Astyanax mexicanus: one gene and its partners. The protein of the gene in region 3 interacts with the protein of the main gene of each other region in a pairwise test. Links are inferred from orthologs where the notes say so. Each region holds a gene or a part of one and is shown on either strand. Other genes may lie near its edges.

Region 1 (7,024 bases), on a different chromosome or scaffold from region 3:
GTTTTATTTTTGATGTATTAACAGGTAAACAGTTCCCATTAGTTACATAGCATAGCATCACATTCCTATATTTTTTGCACTGTAACAAAAACAGAGTAATACATCAGCACATTTGTTTACTCAGTTGGTCACATTAAAAAAATGTCCCCTTGCTAAAAAGACATGTAAGCTCTATTCCATGGAGTTAATATAAATAAAATAACTTTGATAGGCCGTTGTTTTGCATGATTTTTATGAATTGTAATGTGAGCTGGCTGCATGAAACACATTTTTTAATAATGTAATAAAATACTGAGAGACAAAAATTCTGTTCTTTGATTACATTATTTTACATACACTGGTTCTGATTCTCTTTACTTGTACATAATTATATAAACTGGATAACTGATACAAATATAATAATATACAGGTGCTGGTCAACGAATTAGAATAATTTGAAATAGTGCAATCATGAAATTCTTTGAATGCATTTTTTTGTGCAGAAAGCAAATCAGGTGTTCACCGCACCTGTCCTACTCCTTAGACTAATCACAGAACTCGTTACCTGGAAAAAAATTTGCTCAGCTGAGCTTTCCAAAAGGCCCATTTAGGCCATTTAACTGTGACACTGTTGTTTTATTGAATTAGAATAATGGAGAAACCGTTTCATTGAATAAGAATAATTTTTATTATAATTACAATCATCACTTTCTCAGTATTTTGTGGCTGCCCCCTTGGCTTGTATGACTGCTTGAAGTCTCCGCGGCATCGATTTGACCAGCTTGTCGCAAGTTTCCGCACTCACAGCTTCCCAGGCAGTGGCGATGTTCTGCTTCAGTTGGTCCAGCGTAGTAGGCTTTCTGTCGCGAATTTTCCGCTTGACGATGGCCCAAAGGTTTTCAATGACATTGAGGTCAGGCGAGTTGGCCGGCCATGCCAAAACTTCAAGCTGTTTTTTAGTGAACCAATCTTTGGTCGACTTTGCCGCATGAGCCGGTGCAAGATCCTGTTGAAATATGAAGTCTTCTTCGCCGAACTGTTCCTCAACAGTCGGAATCAGGAACGTTTCCAGAACATCTTGATATACGGCAGCATTGACAGTCTTCTTGAGGAAGCAGAGTTTCCCTACACCTCGAGCGGACATGCATCCCCAGACCATAACGCTCTGGGGAAACTTGACGGATCTTTTCACGCACTCGTGGTTGTAGGTTTCGCCACCACGACGCCAGACACGAGGACCTTGGTCACCGAAGGAGATGCAGAAGCGTGATTCGTCACTGAAGACCACTTTCTGCCAGTCTTCAGCAGTCCACTCGCCGTGTTCTTTGGCCCACTTCAGCAGTTTCTCCATTTGTTTCTTGTTCAGCATCGGTTTTACTGCTGGAACGCGAGATTTGAAGCCGAGTTCGCGCAGAAGACGGTAAGTGGTTGATCTGGAGACGTCAGCGCCGGTCTGCTTGTTCCACAAGTCGGTGAGCTCGGAAGTGGACTTGAACCGGTTGCTGACTGCAATCTTTCTCAGCTGCTTGTTGTCGTGAGCAGAAGTTTTTCGGACGCCGGAACAGTTGGTGCGCTTGCTGCAGTTTTTCTTGAGAGCTTTGCAGACGGAAGACTGGCTGATGCCGAGCTGCTCAGCAATTTTAGTTTGGGTCAAGCCTTGTTGGCGAAGGGCTTGAATTTGAGCCACTATTCCGGTTGAGAGGTCGCGCTGCTTACCCATGATTGATTTTACAACTTAGAAATTCTACTCAACCCTGACTTTATACTGCACAGTGAACACTCTTCACAGAAAACAAAAATTCGAGCATTTATTCTAATTCAATGAAACGGTTTCTCCATTATTCTAATTCAATAAAACAACAGTGTCACAGTTAAATGGCCTAAATGGGCCTTTTGGAAAGCTCAGCTGAGCAAATTTTTTTCCAGGTAACGAGTTCTGTGATTAGTCTAACGAGTAGGACAGGTGCAGTGAACACCTGATTTGCTTTCTGCACAAAAAATGCATTCAAAGAATTTCATGATTGCACTATTTCAAATTATTCTAATTCGTTGACCAGCACCTGTATTTAACGAATATCACTTTTTTCAGGGTAGTGATGCTGGTCCACCATCATGGATGAGCTGGCCAACCAACATGCTGGTCATACTGGTGGTCTAGCTTGGTCAGGTTGTCCATGCTTGTAGACCACCTAAACCATCAAACTAAAATTAAAACGCTACTATTCTGGTGAAGAACTAAATTTGGTCAACATGAGGTGATCAGGCTATTTTTTTGGCTGGGTAGTATTCAGCTATTAACATTTTCAGATATTTTATAGCCTGTGTTTTTAAGAGCCCAAACCCAGTTCTTAATATTGATTGAAAATCTTAAAGTAATTCTTCAAATTAATATGTTAATATTTTAAGTTAAACTCTTGATGTAACAACAATGGTTAAACATAAGTACAACAATTTCATACCTTCTAGTTTACCATTTTGTTTTATATATAGTAGTTATGTGGATTGTAAAACATTAAATTGAAGATTTTGGGAAAATGCTTAAAACAGAGCTGTTGAGGCTAAAATACACTTTTAAATAGATGAAGTGTGATCTGAAGCATTAACACAGCACATCTACATTCTAGAAATAATAATGTTCAGTGTGTGCTACTTAGGGGCTTCATGAGTTTGAGTTGATATATTTATATATATATATATATATATATATATATATATATATATATATATATATATATATATATATATATATATATATATATATATAAATTTCAAGGTTTCTTCCCATTTTCACCCCAATTAACCCGGCCAGTTATCCAACTCACTCATTAGGACTTCCCCTATCACTAGTGATACACCAACAGGGGCTTCATGAGTTTAAATGAAGGACAGTGCGCTTTAGGGAACTTCACACAGACTTTTAAAAGGTCTGTGGCTATTTTGGGTTGAGTGAAAATTGCATGTACACACCATATACAGTATAATACAGTGGTAAACACACATAACACGTGTACAGATTCTTTACAGCAGCTGATTGTCCAGTAATGAATAATTGCCCGCAAGGTGGCAGCAGAGGCGCGTGAGAACGTGTACTGTACATTTATTTATATTTTTAAAATTACGTCTTTTTAGTTTTACATTATTGTGTTGAATAATTGTATCGATACGTTGTTGTTTGTTGTCCTTCTGTGCGTCAAAGTAATTATTAAATCATAGACTTGAGTGTTGATATTAATTAGAATGAGGTGAAACCTGTTGTTGAATTCTGAGGTCTGACTTTACTAATCGAGTTAATAACGATACAATTGTAGCGTCATACTAGCTGACCTTACCTGTAGCGGTCATGTTTACTAGGTTAGTTAACTCTAAGTAGCTAATGTTTACTTTTATAGAGGAGCATTGTTCACCTGCAGTGAATAATTGTGTTGGTGAACAACAGGTGGTTTCAACACCATGTATTTTATCTTGGTTGTTCTTTTCTCTTTAACCAAACGCGTACACACCATAAAAAACAGGTTCTTTAGTGATAAATCTGCAGATGGTCCACTCCGCTCTGGTCTAGTGTGACCGGGGGCTGTGTCTGCCTGCCTGGGCTCAGCTTCGGCAGCAGTGATGTGTTGTGTCGAGTTGTGCTACCCATCAAAATGTGCTTCTTAATACCAGTGCGCATGCCCACATTTATTTTATAGTTCCATGTGTTTTGTGGTAGTTCTACTAAATTTTACCTGGGTGCATATTTAACATCCTTAACCCCTCCTCTGTCATTATGTCATTATTAGATTTTATCTAAGTGTAAATGGCATTAATAATAATAATAATAATAATAATAATAATAATAATAATAATAATAATAATAATCGAGCAAAAATTACAAGATATAATCTCGCCTATTCCCTTTTAACTGTATTCTGATTTTTGATTCAGGGTTATTAAATAAAGTGCTTTTTCAGGATTTTTTTTACAATTAAATATTAAATACACCATACCTGTCAAGTTTTGGATTGATGTTGTGATCAATAGTATTTTCTGCAGTCAGAAGGCGTATGTATAATATTATACATATGTACATAGTATGTATGAGTATGTATCATCATAGTATGATGTTTTTTTTTAGCAGAAATGCCCTTTCTCTGTTTGCATCCATCCATCCGTCATTAGTGACATTCCAGTTGTGAGAGGCACAGGAATGTTTTTTATTTTAATTATAATGTAATACAAGAAATTTACAGGAAATGCTAATACGGGAGGACGGCGGGAAAGAGGGGTTAAATGTGGTAGACCAAAACGGGATACTTAACAAGATATGAAATACACACGGGATAGCACGGTTTGACAGGGCAGCAGAAATCGACAGAACACCGGACGGAGCTGTTAGGAGCCTTGTTAACTAAACTATACTGTGGGGTGGCGTGTGTTTGTGTGTGAGAGAGAGTGTGCTCTGAGTGAGTCTCTGTCAGTGTGTGTGTGAGTGTGTGTAAGCTGCGGGTGGAGACTGCCATGGTTCACAGGGAGCCCGCCCAGCCTCAGCCTCACTGCTGGCTGCTGGAGTGACCCGCCCGCCTGCCAGCAGCAGCAGCAGCAGAGCAACGTGTCACCGCCTCGGTCCGCTCCGGACCCACAGCCCGAACTCACACACAGCGGCTCCGCGGAGAAGCGCTGCTGCGGAACTGACGCTCCAGAAAAAAGTAGCCACGCGAAGAAAAGCCTGAGCCACCGCTTTTGAGAGGTGAGTGGTGGGTTTCTGAAGTAACAGAGAAGACTACAAATCTGTTAAATATAACGTTAATGGGTTCAACAGTTAGTTTACCTAGTATGGCTTCGTTTGTTTATTGTTATTCTTGGTCGTTCCTACTCAAAATAGTCAATGAAAACAGACCAGAAATAGAAAAGTGGTCCTTTCAGTCTGACAAGCTTGTTTTTATAGAAACTGAAAAACAGAAACAAGCCGCTGTTTATTATATTTTAGCTAAGTTACCTAGCTATGTAACATTATCTATCATGCAGTCTTCTCTTAGCTCTTTATTGAATAACTACAGCTCTGGAAAAAATAAAGAGTCCACTTTAGTTTCTGAATCAGTTCCGCTGATTTTGCTTTTTATAGGTATATGTTTAAGTAAAATGAACATTGTTGTTATATTCTATAAACTACACAACTACAGACAACATTTCTCCCAAATTCCAAATAAGAACATTGTCATTTAGAGCATTTATTTGCAGAAAATGAAAAATGGGTGAAATAAAAAAGATGCAGAGCTTTCAGACCTCAGATAATACAAATGCAAGATAATGCAAAAAACAAGTTCATATTTAAAAAAAAATGTAAGAGTTCAGAAATCAATATTTGGTGGAATAACCCTGATAACAGTTTTCAGGCATCTTGGCATGTTCTCCTCCACCAGTCTTGCACACTGCTTTTGGATAACTTCAGATTGGTTGGTGATCACCCATCTTCCTCTTGATTATATTCCAAAGGTTCTTAATCATGATTAGTGGTCTCCTATTTTTTTCCAGAGCTGTAGTTTTGCTCTGAGGCATCAAACTAAATGTCCAATACAATGAGGCAATTAAGTGGTTCATCATAAGTAATAAAAATATGTATATGTGCTAGACTGTGTCAAGAAGTAACCTGTATGTAGCTGTTTATATTCTTAATATATGCTATATTTGTTTTTAGTCATTGCCTTGTGCAGTTAGACCACTTTTGAATAGAATAACCATGATAAAGCAGTGGTTCTCATTACACTATACTTACATAGTGTAAGTAATATAAGTTAGGGCTCTGTAATATTGTACATTTAATCTCATTATTCTTCAAACATATGAGCGATTATGATTTAGATTTTTAGTTCTTACATATCTTTGGTTTTTTAGTTTGTAAACAAACAGCACCATTTAAAGTGATATACAATGTGGTGTTTTCTTTACATTTATTTTAACCATGTTTGTTATCTTTTTTTTCATTATCATTCATGATAAATAGTAAGCAGCCCCCTATTGAACACAGTGCAAACATAACATGCTTGTATTTCAGTTAAAGAAAAGTGTAACATTTGAAAATCACTGCCACATAAAAGCAAATTTCTATGTGAAGATGTACAGTCTCTATTATCTCATTTTTAAAAATAAGAAACAATAATTCAGTGCATTAAATTGATTTGATTTACCTCCTAGTCCTATTCTAGGTACTATACGTTGTTTTTTCCCAAACTCCAACCTCTGCCACACTGACCTATTTATGTCCACTTGCAGCTCTGCCCCTCAGCAGCCTGCTATGCTTTGCTCATGTGGTTTAGTGGTTAGTGGTCTTTTGGGGTCTGTGTGAAGGATGTGCAGCATAAACACAACAATACTGGAGACAAAGAATTGCCTCAAGTGCTAAATAGTCTTTTCCACTTCGAATATTTTCAGCTGTGCATAAGACAGTTCATGCCTTTCGGCTGCTCCATCTTCACAGTTGGACTAAAAATAATCCAAACATCCTAAAGAGGGCTTCAAGTGCAGTGTGCTTTAAAAATCAAGTGGTCCTATTGGTGGGGGTTAAAATAACTGTTATTACAAAGGAGGTGAGAAGGTGTTATTAGCAATGGGGTCTAATAGTCAAATAGTCAAAGGTCCACATGGTGTTTGAATATAATCGATTTGATTTGACCATTTTCAGTTCTACTAGATTGGACTGGCATAAATGAATATATATGTGTATGTGTGCAATGTAGTTGTACACATTGTACAAATTAGCGAAAACGCATCTAAATATTGTCACATAAGGTGACATGTGAGAGACCCTCTTAAAAATTAAGAGATGTAACCTATTGGTGGTACAGTACTGCATATAGATATTGTATTAAACCCAAACTGACTTGTCTTAAATTTAGGAATGCACACAGCACCTGAAATTATTTGTATGAAAATGGCATATCCAAACACTAAAAATGACTTTCAATGTTTGGATGTATTATCGTGAAAAAACAATCAAAGCAATAATGCTTTCTTTAAAAAAGAAAACAAGACAAAAATACATTAAGGCTATTCAATGTATGCAATGGTAAAA
Region 2 (7,050 bases), on a different chromosome or scaffold from region 3:
GGTCCTCCACCTGCTGGTCAGCCTCCGTCACCAGGTCTGTGGGTGTGCTCTTACTGCTCACTCTCTTCTCCTGTTTCACAGCTTCCTGAACCATCTAATGAAAGAGAGAGACAGAGAGACAGAGAGAGAGAGAGAGAGACAGAGAGAGAGAGAGAGAGAGAGAGAGAGAGAGAGAGAGAGAGAGAGAGAGAGAGAGAGAGAGAGAGAGAGAGAGAGAGAGAGAGAGAGAGAGAGAGAGAGAGAGAAGCACATTATTAATTCAGGGCCCAAATCTAAATACTACTGAATACTAACTAGATCAAAAGTAGAGAATCTTAGGGCATCACACGATAAGATATTATCATGACACTTTGCCCATGACAATGATTATATCACGTTACTTGATTGATTATATCACAAGACAATTCACCAATCTGTGTTACTGAAGAGGAAAATATACTCCTAATAAATAAAATACCAGGAACTATGGATTTATCTGTGTCCGTTTCACACAAAATTTCACAATTAACATTCATCACAGGTTCACCTATTCACTTGATTAGTGCCACCACTTAGAGTAATGAAGCAGTAACATTAGTAACTCAAATTGTGGGGTGAGATACATATTAATATACAATATTGATCCTGTGTCCCACCCAAAAAGTAAATGAGTGGTTTCAGAGCGAATTATCGAGCAATAGAAGAACTTGAAGTAATTTAAACAGAATAATAAATTTGACATATAGGTTTGTAGAAATATCAGTAGTTTATTTTGGAATTAAGTGTATTCATGAATGGTTACTATGGTATCCAAAGCTGCTTCTATGGTCTTGCTATCATGTCACTAAATTGTCTGTTTTTGTCCTAAGGAGTTGCTACTATGTAGTTTAGTATTTACTGGGGGATTGATAAGGTATCCCATGTGGTTTCTTCGGTGTTGTTAAGTGATTGCTAAGTGATCCCTACGGTAAACCAGATGGCTGCTATAGTGTTATTTAGTAGGTTTAGTAGTTACTACGTGGTTGTTATGTTATCCTAGGTGATTATATGGTGTTGCTAAGTGATTCCTATGGTAAACCAGTTGGTTGCTATAGTGTTTTTTAGTTGTTACTAGGTGGTTGCTAAGGTATCCCAGGTTGTTTCTATGATGTTGTAAAGTAATTACTAAGTGATTCCCATGGTGTAGCAAGTGGTTGCTATAGTGTTGTTTACTAGTTACTACGTTGTTGTTATGGTATCCCAGATGGTTGCTATGGAGTTCAAAAAACACTAGGTGGGTGGTTTAGTGTGGCAATGTAACTGCTCGGAAGTTACTATGGTATCCCGGGTGGGTAGCTTAGGTGCTTAGGTACCTGGTTGATTATTAAGTGTAAAGAGTATATTTGTATCATTGTTATATTTGAAGGGTGCCCAAGTTTTACTGGCACATTCGTAGGCACTTTACTGTGTGTGTACTGTGTGTGATTTATCAGTTTTATTTATATCAGTAGGCTAGCCACACGGAAAAGGTCAGTAATGCAGACTTATCTCGAGCAGCAGCCCACTGTAACACTTTACACTTCTTATAATACACTGCTTAAATACCAGAACCACACAGAACACTGAGGGAAGAAGAAGCACTTTTCTGTTCCAGGTTATAACACAGTGGATCAACACCAGCAGATGACATGTCTCTCCAAACCATCACTGATTGTTGAAACTTCACACTAGACCTCAAGCAGCTTGGACTGTGTGTCTCTACACTCTTCCTCCAGACTCTGGTCTCTTGATTTACAAATGAAATGCAAAATGTATTGATTGATGGTCAGTGATGGTTTGGAGAATCATCAACACCAGTCATCTGCTGGTGCTGGTCCACTGTGTTTTATCAAGTCTAAAGTCAGTGCAGTGTTTTCCTGGAAAATCTTACAGAATTCCATTTTTCCCTCTACTGACAACTTTTATAGCAATGTGGATTTCATTTTCCAGCAGGCCTTGACACACTGCCCACACTGCCAAAAGTACCAGTTGGATTGGGGTTTCATTGGCTTTAAGCGATAATCATCAACATTAAAAGAAATACACTTAAACACTTAAAAAATAGATTACTCTGTGTGTAATACATCTATATAATAAATGAATTTCACATTTTAAACCAAATCACTGAAATAAAGTAACTTTTCAATGATATTAGATATTAGATCTTTAGATGCACTAGTATACAGCTCTGGAGAAAATTAAGAGATCACTTTAGTTTCTGAATCAGTTTCTCTGATTTTGCTATTTATAGGTATATGTTTGAGTCAAATGAACATTGACAAACTACTGACAACATTTCTACCAAATTCTAAATAAGAAATATTGTCATTTAGAGTATTTATTTGCAGAAAATTAGAAATGGTCAAAATAACAAAAAAGAGTTCAGAAATCAATATTTGGTGGAATAACCCTGGTTTTGTAATAACAGTTTTCATACATCTTGGCATGTTCTCCTCCACCAGTCTTACACACTGCTTTTGGATAACTTTATGCCACTCCTGATGCATAAATTGCAAAAAGTAATCATCTTCCTCTTGATTATATTCCAGAGGTTTAGGTAAAACCAAATAAACTCGTAATGTTTATGTGCTCTCTCTCTATATATATATCCGTATGTTTTATTGTATTATTAACTCTGTGAAAGATAAACTGACTTCACTGAATTACTAACGCTCCACTTCAGCAGCCTAATCACTGACAGCGTGTTTACACCCACATCACTAACCCCGCTGGCCTCTCCACTCTCCGCGGCTAACAGTGCACACAGCCCGGCTAACGCAGCTGAGCTCCCCCGCCATCACTCCCACACTCACTCATACCTGCCCCGCAGAGCGAGCGATCCGCACGGCCAGCTCCAGACACTCGGCCCAGCTCTCCGCCTCCATGCTCCCGGGTCTCAGTGGAGGAGAGCGGGGGAAGGCTCAGCGCAGACCGCGCGGGCTGCTCATGGTAAGCCGTCGCTGGTGTCTGGCTTCCCGGATCCGCAGTGAGAGTCTCCGGGCGGAAAGCTCCGACATGGGTGGATGTAGCCCGCTGCTGCTGCCGCTGTCCGGGCGGCCTGACCTGCGCGCGCAGGCTGTCAGATCTGTCCGAGCGGCACATTTAGATCCAGAGCTGATCCTCACAGTGACATTTAAAGGGCCCACACCCCACAAATCCTACATAACAGCTCTGGAAATAGGATACCACTTTAAAATGATCAGTTTCTCTGATTTTACCAAATTGAAAACCTCTGGAATATAATCAGGAGGAAGATGAATGAACACAAGCCATCAAATCAAGCTGAACCGCTATCCAAAAGCAGTGTGTTAGACTGGTGGAGGAGAACATGCCAAGATACATGAAAACTGTGATTAAAAATACAGGGTTATTCCACCGAATATTGATTTCTTAAATCTTAAACCTTCTGCAAATCAATGACAATATGACATTAGATGACGATATTTTTATTTTGAATTTGGAAGAAATGTTGTCTGTAGTTTATAGAATAAAACAACAATGTTCATTTTAGTCAAACATAATCAGAGAAACTGATTCAGAAAATGAAGTGGATTTTTTTTCCAGAGCTGTATGTATGTTTACTTTGAGGTCTGAGGACAGCTTGTGATTATATTATATAATATTACAGAATATATAACAATATATATTTTTTTATAAAGAACAGTTAAACACAGTTATTTATATTTAATTGAATTTTTAATTTATTATATATATTTTTATATGTGGGTTTTGCTACATTTTGGCTATGAATAAACCTCTAGATTAAAAACAACAACAAAGGAAATTCCTTACTTTACCTTTTCGGCTCCTGTTAAGATACCCTTAGAACTTTACAAAAAATAGCAAAACAAACGCAAAACAGAATAGAATGCTTTGAAGAAAAAATAATACTGCTGTTATCACAATATGGATTTTTTTCGGTGGTTTAAAAATAAGCTGTCTACTTTGCTTCCAATGTACTAGGTAAGTAATTAGTTTATAATATTAATACAAACAATAATAATAATAATTATTATTATAATAGCCATAACCATGTTGCAAGTACTAAATAAGTGTTTCACCCCACCCACTGCTAACGTAACAATTTAAAGCACAAATATATATATATATTATATATATATATATAATTTGATGATATATATATATATATAATCATATTATATATATATAATATGATGATATATACATAATGATATATATATATCATTATGTTACTTTATTTTATATCACTCTTGGATGAACAGGTCGTTTTTTGTGTAAATTGTACTAATTTTAAAAGAAAGTATTTAAAGAATTCTTGAAATATTTAATCATAAAATAAATTGATAAAAAAATGAAGAAAGAAAATCTCAGCTAGCATGAAATAAGCTGGGAAATAAATGTTGCTCCCTTTCGTTTATATAAAACCATGAAGCACATTTTGAAGGACTGTGGCTAAAGATCAGTGTTGTATCGAGTAATAATGTCCACACAGGGGCAGTATTTCTCCAGCACTACGGACCTCACTGTAGTTTTAAACTAAGAAGCACATTACATACAGGTTATTGTGAAAATCATACAATTCTTCGGTTGGGAAAAATCAGTTTTTTTATATAGGTGAATAAGTATTTATATATATATTTTTAAAAATAGGTAAGAATACATTTGTTCTACAATTCAAGTACAGAGTAAGTTTATTTTGATTAGAAATTTAAAGCATCAACACTGCCACCTCTTGGGCATCTGGTAAAGTATGCCCTGTGATGTGACTTTTATAATGCTGAGTTAAACGGAGCTTCATGCTGGCTGGTAAAATTTGTATGAGAAGTGAGCACTACAATGTCTTGTTTGGGACACAGCCATGGCCTAAATAAAAGACTGCTTAGGGGTCCAGAAAATCACTGGATTGGATTGACAACTTGGATGGTCAAGAACTGAGGAAGAGGTGGGTTCTAAGGTGGCATTTAGATATGAAGGCTTAATTCCACCTATTAGCCATAAAGAATAATCTAATATGATTGCCTGCTTTGCTTTATTCTATTGGAGACAGGTGGCCTGGTCCATGTAGGTCCTGCATTTGGTTTTCCCAGTGTTCCCAATTAACATCCACAGACAGCTTGGAGAGGAACTTTATTTACAATATCAGGACAGTTAACTTTCAAATGTGTCATCATTTAAAAGATATACTCTGACCTATCATCAATTTACAATCATAACTAAAGGGCTTTTTATAAAAAGGGTTGGCCTGACAATCACAATCACACTGGACGAGCTGCAAACACATAAATGGCTTTTAAAAAGTATAGACACAACTCTTAAAATTTATTCCATTTACATATAATTTCTTTAGCCCCACCCTCCCCCTGCACAAACAACAATATTTATGTTTACAAAAGTTGTAACCAAAGATGAAAATATAGGAAATGCAACAAAAAAAACAGAGGGAAAGATAAATGAGATGAGATTCAGTTCATGGCCCACATTTTCATACAATTGCAAGCATGGCACCAAAAGGAAAAAAGCAAAAGGGAAAATGGGGAGAAGAACCAGAGTACCACAGCAAGGCTTAGTCTTCAGTTACAGAACTGTGTATGAGTGAAGCAGCACAAACATTAGATATAAAATAATAATAAAATAAACAAACAAAGAATACACATTTTGGCTTACAGGGTCAAACAATGAGGTGGGTTAAAGTAGAAAGGAAAAGACGTTCTCGTCTGAAGTGCGGGCGTTAGTTGGAGCTTAGCGGCTGGATGGCCAACACGTGGTTCAGTAGATGAATTCTCCGGGCACTTCCTGGAGGGCAGGGAAGGGCTCTTCGAATTTGAATCGCTTGGAGATGGCCTTCTGGTCCGGGGTCAGACTCTCCTTGTCTGAGGACTGCCGACACTGACCCAGAGTATAAGCGGCCATCACAATGAGCTCCTCCGTCACTCTTCCATCCTCCTCCTCCTCTTCTGTTCTCTGCTGGGAGGAGATCTCTGGGCTGGCTGGCTCTGAGACTGAGGTGGAGGCACTTTTCTGCATCGCTGGCTCCTCCACAGAATTTTTCTCCTGTGTCTGAAGCCACTGGTGTTTCAGGCACTCCTCAGCAGTGGCACGGCCCCTGTGCAAACAAAGAATTATTAAAGAATTACACATACCGGTACACTTGTGCTGTCTGCAGACATCTGTTAAAAACTGTACAGTTACTGTGGCATAGGCCTTGTATAACTTAAGCCACTTGGAGAAAGACATCCTAAGTATCAGGACTACAATGTTATCATGCCAAATTACATAAAAATGCATACTAAGCACACTGAACACACATTCATAACAGATACACTTCAGGAGCCGGTCTAAGACACAGTTAGACCTCATGTATGGAGCCCCTAAGGTGACATTATGTTAAAATAAAATAATGCATGGCCACAAATTACTAAGGCATGGGAATGAGAAAATTAAGGTGTGGGAACGAGATCCTAATGCGTGGGAACGAGATAACAATATGACTGCCTGGAAGTAAAACGGGCCTGCACGCTGTCTGCATCTGAGCCTGTCAGCTTTTAGAGTGCGAATAAAGTGATTTTTACTTAAAAATATGCCATGTCTCACTGCAAGAGACTCCAAAATATCACCATAATTCATTTAGAGACGAAAATAAAAAGAAACCAGTTCACTCTCCATTTTCTTACAAAAGATTATCCTTGGATTGGAGCTTTGATGTAATATTCAGTTTTCTTCATGGATATTAATTTACAGAAAAGCAAGCTTTATTATTCTCTGGCCACATTTAAATTCTCATTCCCGTGCCATAATAAATCGTGGCCATTACTTATTTATCTCATTCACATGCCATAATTATCTCGTTCGAACAAATTAGGATCTTGTTCCTATGCCTAAATAAGTTGTGGCCACGCATAATTTATATATTTATTTATTTATTTATTTTTTTTAACATGATGTCAACTTAGAGATTGGTACTTATGCATGGAATGTGGATGTGTTTATGGAAGAGTCTGCTTTGTCCACTGTGGGCAGAAATGCCTTATTCTTTGATGTATTCCTGGTACAAATGTGACACTGTTTGGAATT
Region 3 (7,793 bases):
TAACTAAAACAAACAAACAATAAAATAATCTTTCCAAGATAAAAAAAATCATCAGCCATAACAATAGCACGCCAAACACTAATAAAAATAATATAATAATAAATAAATATCACATATCTGCAGAATATATTAGTAGATTAAACACACAATCAATCTTGAGTTTATTTTTTGGATTTCAGGGGAGCTGAAACTGAAATTATGACTTTTTGCATAAGTGTTTAACCACTTTAAAATTGTTTATCAACATTTTAATTGTGATTCTAACTGTAGATATGTAGCTAGCTTTACAGCTCACAGGTGTATATGGCATACTTTGTTTTTGGTGTGAGTACATGTCCACTGGTGTTACTGTACCCCACACCGCCACATTACTGCACTTATTTTTATTTTAGATATTTTGTTACTTTATCTGATTTATCTCCTTTATATCTATATACATAATTAAAAATTGTGGTCATGATGTTATGATGTGTTTGTTATTTAGTATATTTTTACTGTTGTAATATGTGACTTCCAATCAACCTATTTACACACAGTTTCGCCTGTCACTAGGCCTGTCACAATAATTATCAACTAAATCGTACAACACATGGACATCGCTGCAGTTTTTTTTTGCTGACCTCGATAGATAAAATGTTCACATTTAATTTACATTTTTTAATCATTAAATGTTTAGTGCCCTAAAAAAGGGTGTTAAAGCATTATTATGGACTGATATATGGACATACACAGCACCAGTCAAAAGGTTGTACACACCTTCTCATTCATCTTTTTCTTTATTTTATATTTTTTTGTTGTTTTTAGTTTCTACATTATTGATTAATAAAAAAAAACAAAAATTATGGAACATATATATAATTCGATAAAAAAAAATGTTTGTCCTCCCCAATCCCCTGACCTAAACCCTACTGTAATGGGTAATTTGTGATGAGCTGGAGCTTCACAGCATAAAGAAAGAGATGCAGAAAAAACTCTCAAGTAACTCTACTCATGAAGACACTAAGATTAAAATACCAAGAGTGTGTAAAAATCTGTCATCACAATTAATGTGGCTACTTGGAAAATTGTAAAGTATAAAAAACACATAAAGCTCTGTAAAATAAATAAGAGACCACTTAAAAATGATGAGTTTCTTTGATTTTACCAAATTGAAAACCTCTGGAATATAATCAAGAGGAAGATGGATAAACCAAGGTGAACTGCTTGAATTATTGCACCAGGAGTGGCATAAGGTTATCCAAAAGCAGCGTGTAAGACATGTGGAGGAGAACATGCCAAGATGCATGAAAACTGTGATTAAAAACGAGGGTTATTCCACCAAATAATGATTTTTGAAATCTTTGAAAACTTTATGACTAAGAACTTGTTTTCTTTGCATTATTTGAGGTCTGAGAACTGCATCTTTTTTGTTATTTCAGCCATTTCTCATTTTCTGCAAATAAATGCTGTAAATGACAATATTTTTTATTTGGAATTAAGAATAAATATTGTCCGTAGTTTAAAGAATAAAACCACAATGCTAATTTTACTCAAACTGATTCAGAAACTGAAGTGGTCTCTTCATTTTTTCCAGAGCTGTGTGTATAGCTCTGTATAGCTGTAATGTCTTCAATGATAAATTTACAATGTAAAAAAAAATAGAAACAGAAAGAAAACACAGAGAATGAGAAAATATGGGTCCAAGCTTTTGACAGGTACTGTAACTATAGCAGTGGAACAAAACGGACTTTAAATGACAACAATACCTCAAATACTTTTTGTAATAATTAAGTTTATTGCGCAGAACACTTTGTAATCACCACTTTAGATACAAAGCCACTAGAAACGTTTTGCTCTGCGTATTACAGGAGTCTATAAACAAACACACTCGAAATTAAGATAAAATTCGTAATAAATTCAACACTACACCCTGATTACTGTAGCTTAGCTTAACTAAACCGGTTAGCTAGCTAGCTGCTGTCACTAACAGACAGCTATAGCTAGCTTAGCTTATTTGTTTATGGACTCAGGCGACCAAAACAGGAACGGACATTGATTTATTAAAAGAAATTCTACACATTTCTGCTGACGTTTGGCTACAGTACGGTCTGTGAAAATTCATCACCAATTTAAAGTCCTTAAATGACAGACTCTTCCTCCTCACCGGTGTTCTGTCAAGTTCTACTTCCCTGTCAAACCGTGCTACCCTAGTGTGTATGTTTAACTGTAAACATACAAATTATTAGAACATGCTGCATGCATTAGAAGTGTCTGTATGATCAAATTGCATAGCCTAAATCGCTGTATCAGGATAAAGTTAAGCCAATATATGTGATTAAAAAACATGGTAACTAAAAATAACTAAATTATTACAAAAAAAAACCTAGAGGGGGGTAACCAAGGTCAAGAAAGTAAAAATCCATTTCCCCAGCAGAGCCACCCAGGCAGTTGGTACAAAACACTGGGATGGATGTTTACTTTCTGGACCGGAGTTAATTTTTCCCACTTTTAGGGGAAAAATGAAAACAGTAAAAACAGTTTTGCGCATGCGCAGAGCTGCTAAGTAGCACATATAGACGGGTAGCACAACTTGACGGAACACCGGCCTTGTTTATCTATACTGACAGTCAAACGCGCTAGTTAGCAGTTAGCCGGCTAGCCTAGCGTTAGCTAAGTGGTATCTATGAGTGAAGCAGAGCTCTGAACAGCTCTCGCTCCCTCCCTGTTCCGGTCTCAGGACAGTTTTACACTGTTCCGCTCTCTATTCTCGGTCTGCTCGGCGGAGGGACGCGCTCTGTTTACAGCAGAAAGGATGAATTTTCACTCCCTATGCTGTGCAATACTCAAACCTGCAGCCAGCGCTTAGCATTTCATCACTAACTTCTCAGTCAGCTCCTCTATTCTCCTTCTTTTCTTCTCCCTAAAAAGAGAGAATAAAAGAAGAAGGTTCAAGCACACTCGTATCGCACCACACAGTTATCACAAATCATCACAGCACGACCCCTAAACACAGAAACACGGGCTTCAATCAGCGCTACTTACGGCTCTTCCCCATCCGCCATACTTTATGCCTTCACCGTGCCATGCCTTCCCACAATGCACCGCTCTCGCCCCCAAACTTTATCCTCTCATCCTCCCTCTCTTTCACACTCTCTCTCTATCACTCTCTCTTTCAGACTTCTCTCACTTACACTCTTTCTCTCTCAATTACAATCTTTGTTTCTCTCATTCTCCCTGAGATACAGAAGTTTAATCCCCCTCCTCTCTCTCTATGTGAAATACTGAAGTTTACCTTTCTCTCTATTTCTCTCTCTCTCTCTTTCTCTCTGTGAAATACTAAAGTTTACCTTTCTCTCTATTTCTCTCACTCTCTCTCTCTCTCTCTCTCTCTCTCTGTGAAATACTGAAGTTCACCTCACACTTACCCACTTGCTTTCTCTCTTTCTATCAATGAAACGTTCACACAGTGAGAGCAAATGAATAAAAAAATGAATTAATAAATTATTTAATGAATGAAGATGTTTATCTGTCTATACAGTAAATATACTTCAAGTTTGAGTTCCCTTGGTAAACTTACAGTTGCTATAATTATATACCATTGCACATAAAGTACTCTATAGTGTTCTAAAGTATAATTAATTTGCCATCCAAAATGAGTTGTTGTGTGCGACATTTTAAACAATGATATTAAATAAAAATAAATAAAAAAATATTTACAGTGGGATGTAAACGGTTTGGGCAAACCCTACCATACCACTCATATGATACCACTGTAAAATCATTAAGCACTCACTCGCGGGTTCCCTCTAGCGGTACAGTAATGTTTTTTTTTTTGCAGGCTCTTAAGAAACCCTGCTGAAGGCAGTTCATACAGTACAAATGCTAATCAGGTAATGTCCCTCCCAAATTGGAGAGAAAATTATCTTGAGAAAAAGAAAACCATGTGAAATGGTCAAACTGTTGCTTGTCTGAGTAAATGGTTCTTCGTTATTATGTAAAAACTACCAATACAAACTATCATCAAGTCAAGGAATCTGTTTTTAATATACATATTGGACCTTTTATGACCACTGGTTAAAGATTTTTCTCAGCAGTAAACAGGCTAAATGCGGATTTATTTGAATTTGCCAGCTCACTATCATTATTTCCCATACTTTCCACATTAACTTTCTGATGTGCTGCCAAGGCAACAGTGGATAAAAATATCACAGCTTGCTCTTTCAAATCACCTCTTATCACTGTCTTTGTTTACAGTAACTGCTTCCACAGACTTTACAGAGCGATTCATAGCAGAGGTGACCTTCTTAATGACTTTGGTACAACTAACCACTTAATCACATCATTAATTCATTAGACGAAAACAAATTTAAGAAAAAAATTTAACTGCCCCTTCTTTAGAAAGGCACTATTAATTGCACTATACTAAATTATTATTCAGACATAAACTATTCTGAATTCACCCATTCATCTGTTAATGTCGATAAAACACAATCAGAAACATTACCTTTTCATTTTCAGTGCAAAATATTAGGTTTAATTCCTAAAATATCTTAATATTTGCTAAAAAAAATGCATTGCTGTATGCTATTTTTACAGACAGTCAAACATTTATATTTATACATGTATTAGCACACATTTTTCTTGTTTTTTTGTTTAAAAGAAGATCCATAATAAATCCATACCTATGCTCAAATGCTCCGATAAGTCAGCATTAAAACCAAACCAGAGAAATACAGAAGTTTTTAAATGTATTGACATTTCTGAATTTAGAGGGCTGCCACTTTTGTGCCCTTAAACCTCACTGCTCCCTGCATGAGTGCCACAGCAGTGGCTGCCCACAGCTCCTGACATTTGTGCTCACTGTCTGCGTGTGTGTGTGTCTTCTGAGTTTAATATCTAGTGTTTATGTGTGTTCACTGTACGCATAGGATAAGGCCAAATAAGCAAAACAATCATTTTAATTTCATTTTGTAGAATCATCCATTTGGACTATTTAAACATCACAAAGACCACTTTACCCTAAATAAAAGAAAATAAAAAATATGGGTCAGATTCATTGGGGTTAATCAGTACATACAAAAGTACATACATTAGGACTAAACAGGAATATGTTCTTATGTAACTGTGAACATTAAAAGATTTGGTAATCTTAAGTAATGAATCACAATCTACTGCAAATATTTCCCTCCTACCGGTAACAAGGTATGAAAGGCCCCGGGCCAACTAAATGATGTATAAAAGAGCAGAGCCTGTGCATTACTCCTTGTACGAGGCAATAATGGGGAAGGTAGTCTTGGTTTCAGGTAAGTGGCTTTGATATTATTAAGAGTTTCAATAAAAAGAATAAAAAGTGTTTTTCCTTTAAGCCATAAACAATACGTGTTTGAAAAAACTTCACAAGATGACTTGTTTAACGAAATAAAGATCACAATCTTGCATTTTTCTTTCTTTCTCTTATCTGAATCCAGCGCTGGCCCTGCTGCTGCATATGCAGCTTGGTAAGTACTTGGCTATATTGCTGTGGTTTCAGATTTTACTCAGAAGCTAATACACACAACCAACTGATTTATGTATTTTGTTGCTTTGGACAGGCTCTGCCTACATCTTATCATGCTACTTCACCAACTGGGCACAGTATCGCCCACCTCCTACCATCTACATGCCCAATGACATCGACCCATGCCTGTGTACCCATCTCCTCTACGCCTTCGCCACCATGACCAGCAGCTACCAGATTGCCACTTATGAATGGAATGATGTGGAGCTCTACAGCCAGTTCAATGCCCTGAAGGACAAGTGAGTGTGGAGAATATGATGAGCTGCTAGTATGGAACTCAGAAGTGTTTACCAGAAGTAAATTGCAGGTGTTAACTACAGTTTACCGTTTATAGCCAATTAAACCTGGAATGCAACACTTTGTTTACTTAATTATAAAGAATATTGTCAAATCATTTATAACAACATACAATATTTAACATAGACACTAACATGTTCAAACTTGTACGACAGGAGATATCGTAAAGAACGTCCCATCGATGTGGCACCCTGTATCTGTCTTTGTTCGAACCAGTGTTCAACCATACTCATAAGAAAACACCTCACAACTTTTACAGGTGTGGGCATTCCCAAGTTGTCCCCTAAAATAACACTTCATGAACAACGTATATACTGCTATCCCATGACTTTTGATACTTGAGCTAAAGCTGAACAGAATGAGAACAATCATTTAAAGCTACAACAAAAATGTAATGTTATATGTAAAAGGACTGAGTCTGTTATTAATTATAAAAAGCAATGCTTAGTAAATATTAACAGTAAATAAAGTATGCTTGGTTTATATAATACATTTTAAACCATGTAGAGGCTTAATCAGTCTTACCTCTCAGAGTTCCATTTTAAGGTAATAAATGAATAGTAAAACCAGGGTTCAAGAGGCTAAATCCTTACCAATAGATCCATGCAAATTGCTGCCTTAAGCCAAGCACTGATTTTTTTTTATCTCTCTCTCTTTCTCATCTCTGCAGGAATGGTGATCTGAAAACTCTGCTGTCAGTTGGTGGATGGAACTTTGGTTCCTCAGGGTAAGAACCTAATTTAATTTTAGCATGGGCAGAGCACTCAGAATATCAATGTGTCAACTTCATTTCCCTCTCATCACTCCGGCTAGATTCTCTAACATGGTGGCCTCCTCCACCAACCGCCAGACCTTCATCACTTCTGTCATTGCCTTTCTGAGGAAGTATGAGTTCGATGGGTTGGACATTGACTGGGAGTATCCAGCCAACAGAGGAAGCCCACCTCAAGATCAGCAACTGTACTCTGTTCTGCTGGAGGTGTGTCAGATGTATCTGATTTTATTTACCTTAATTTAAGCATTATGTCCCAAAGAAATCAGTAACTGCGTTTATGTACACTTAAAGATTATATTACTGCAGAACAATAGGGTATTGCAGTAATGTTTCCATGAACTTAACTCAATTAGATAATGGGAAAACTCATAGTCAGATTTTTATTTAGCAAATAGCCAATTATCTCAGCTAAAATCCAGCTTTATAATATTTCTTTAACTGATTTTCAGTCCTTCTAAATTTCAGTCCAATCTAAACAAAAATGGAGTGTGCTTTAATAATCAAATAACTACAGAAATCTGTTTCTAATCATAACAACTGCTTTATAACAAAGAGTAATTAGTAAGTAGTCTTATTACATTGAATGAAAGTGAAAGTGCACCATATTTTAAACTGAAATCTCTGTTTTAAAAATGGAATAGTATTTGTGAACAGCAGTTATTAAGAATTTGCTGCTATTAAAGTATTAAATGACTGTGCTTATTATTGTAAATTGTAATGTGTTTATGTGTCGTGTAATAATAATATAATATTTAGAATCTCTTGTATATATGGGCTCATTTCTGTAACATCTGTACATTTCTGTTTGTGGTGGTGAACAGGAGATGAGGGCTGCTTTTGAGGCAGAGGCCAAGCAGACCAACAGAGCTCGACTCCTGATGTCTGCTGCTGTTTCCTCAGGCAGAGGCACCGTTGAGACTGCCTATCAAATCCCTCAGCTTGGACAGTGAGTCAATTCTTGTCCCCTAGTCTCATCATTGTCAAATACTTCACCCAGTGAAGAGAACAGTTTTATAAATAGCCTAAACTGAAATGCCAGTGCCTTCATATTTTATGTCTCTAGTGGTGAACAAAAAAATACTAGGGAAGAGAATTATGGAATAAACAAATGCTTAGAAGATACACTGTCATTTCTTATACATTTTTTACAAAATAATTGCTTTAGCTATACTTATAATTTAAAGT

The links.
Region 1: the proteins of uba3 (region 3) and cpne2 interact in binary tests that used the Homo sapiens proteins (3 or more experiments, as listed by UniProt). The two-hybrid records come from large-scale screens. The link is inferred for Astyanax mexicanus from reciprocal best matches to the Homo sapiens genes UBA3 and CPNE2.
Region 2: the proteins of uba3 (region 3) and impa2 interact in binary tests that used the Homo sapiens proteins (3 or more experiments, as listed by UniProt). The two-hybrid records come from large-scale screens. The link is inferred for Astyanax mexicanus from reciprocal best matches to the Homo sapiens genes UBA3 and IMPA2.

What each region holds. Positions count from the first base shown.
Region 1 is NC_064416.1:22,614,726-22,621,749, forward strand, and holds the start of cpne2 (copine-2), read left to right. Parts: upstream 1-3,958; 5' UTR 3,959-4,702; intron 4,703-7,024.
Region 2 is NC_064413.1:44,505,888-44,512,937, reverse strand, and holds the start of impa2 (inositol monophosphatase 2), read right to left. Parts: upstream 3,085-7,050; 5' UTR 2,883-3,084; coding exon 2,817-2,882; intron 95-2,816; coding exon 1-94. Other genes in the region: stk17a (serine/threonine-protein kinase 17A), read right to left, coding at 5,746-6,082. UniProt on the Homo sapiens protein: Phosphatase that can use myo-inositol monophosphates, myo-inositol 1,4-diphosphate, scyllo-inositol-1,4-diphosphate, glucose-1-phosphate, beta-glycerophosphate and 2'-AMP as substrates in vitro.
Region 3 is NC_064420.1:33,208,445-33,216,237, reverse strand, and holds the start of uba3 (NEDD8-activating enzyme E1 catalytic subunit), read right to left. Parts: upstream 3,094-7,793; 5' UTR 3,042-3,093; coding exon 3,022-3,041; intron 2,900-3,021; coding exon 2,861-2,899; exon of another isoform or gene 2,849-2,860; coding exon of another isoform or gene 2,829-2,848; intron 1-2,828. Other genes in the region: acidic mammalian chitinase, read left to right, coding at 5,258-5,282, 5,448-5,477, 5,571-5,775, 6,504-6,560, 6,647-6,812, 7,430-7,554. UniProt on the Homo sapiens protein: Catalytic subunit of the dimeric UBA3-NAE1 E1 enzyme. E1 activates NEDD8 by first adenylating its C-terminal glycine residue with ATP, thereafter linking this residue to the side chain of the catalytic cysteine, yielding a NEDD8-UBA3 thioester and free AMP.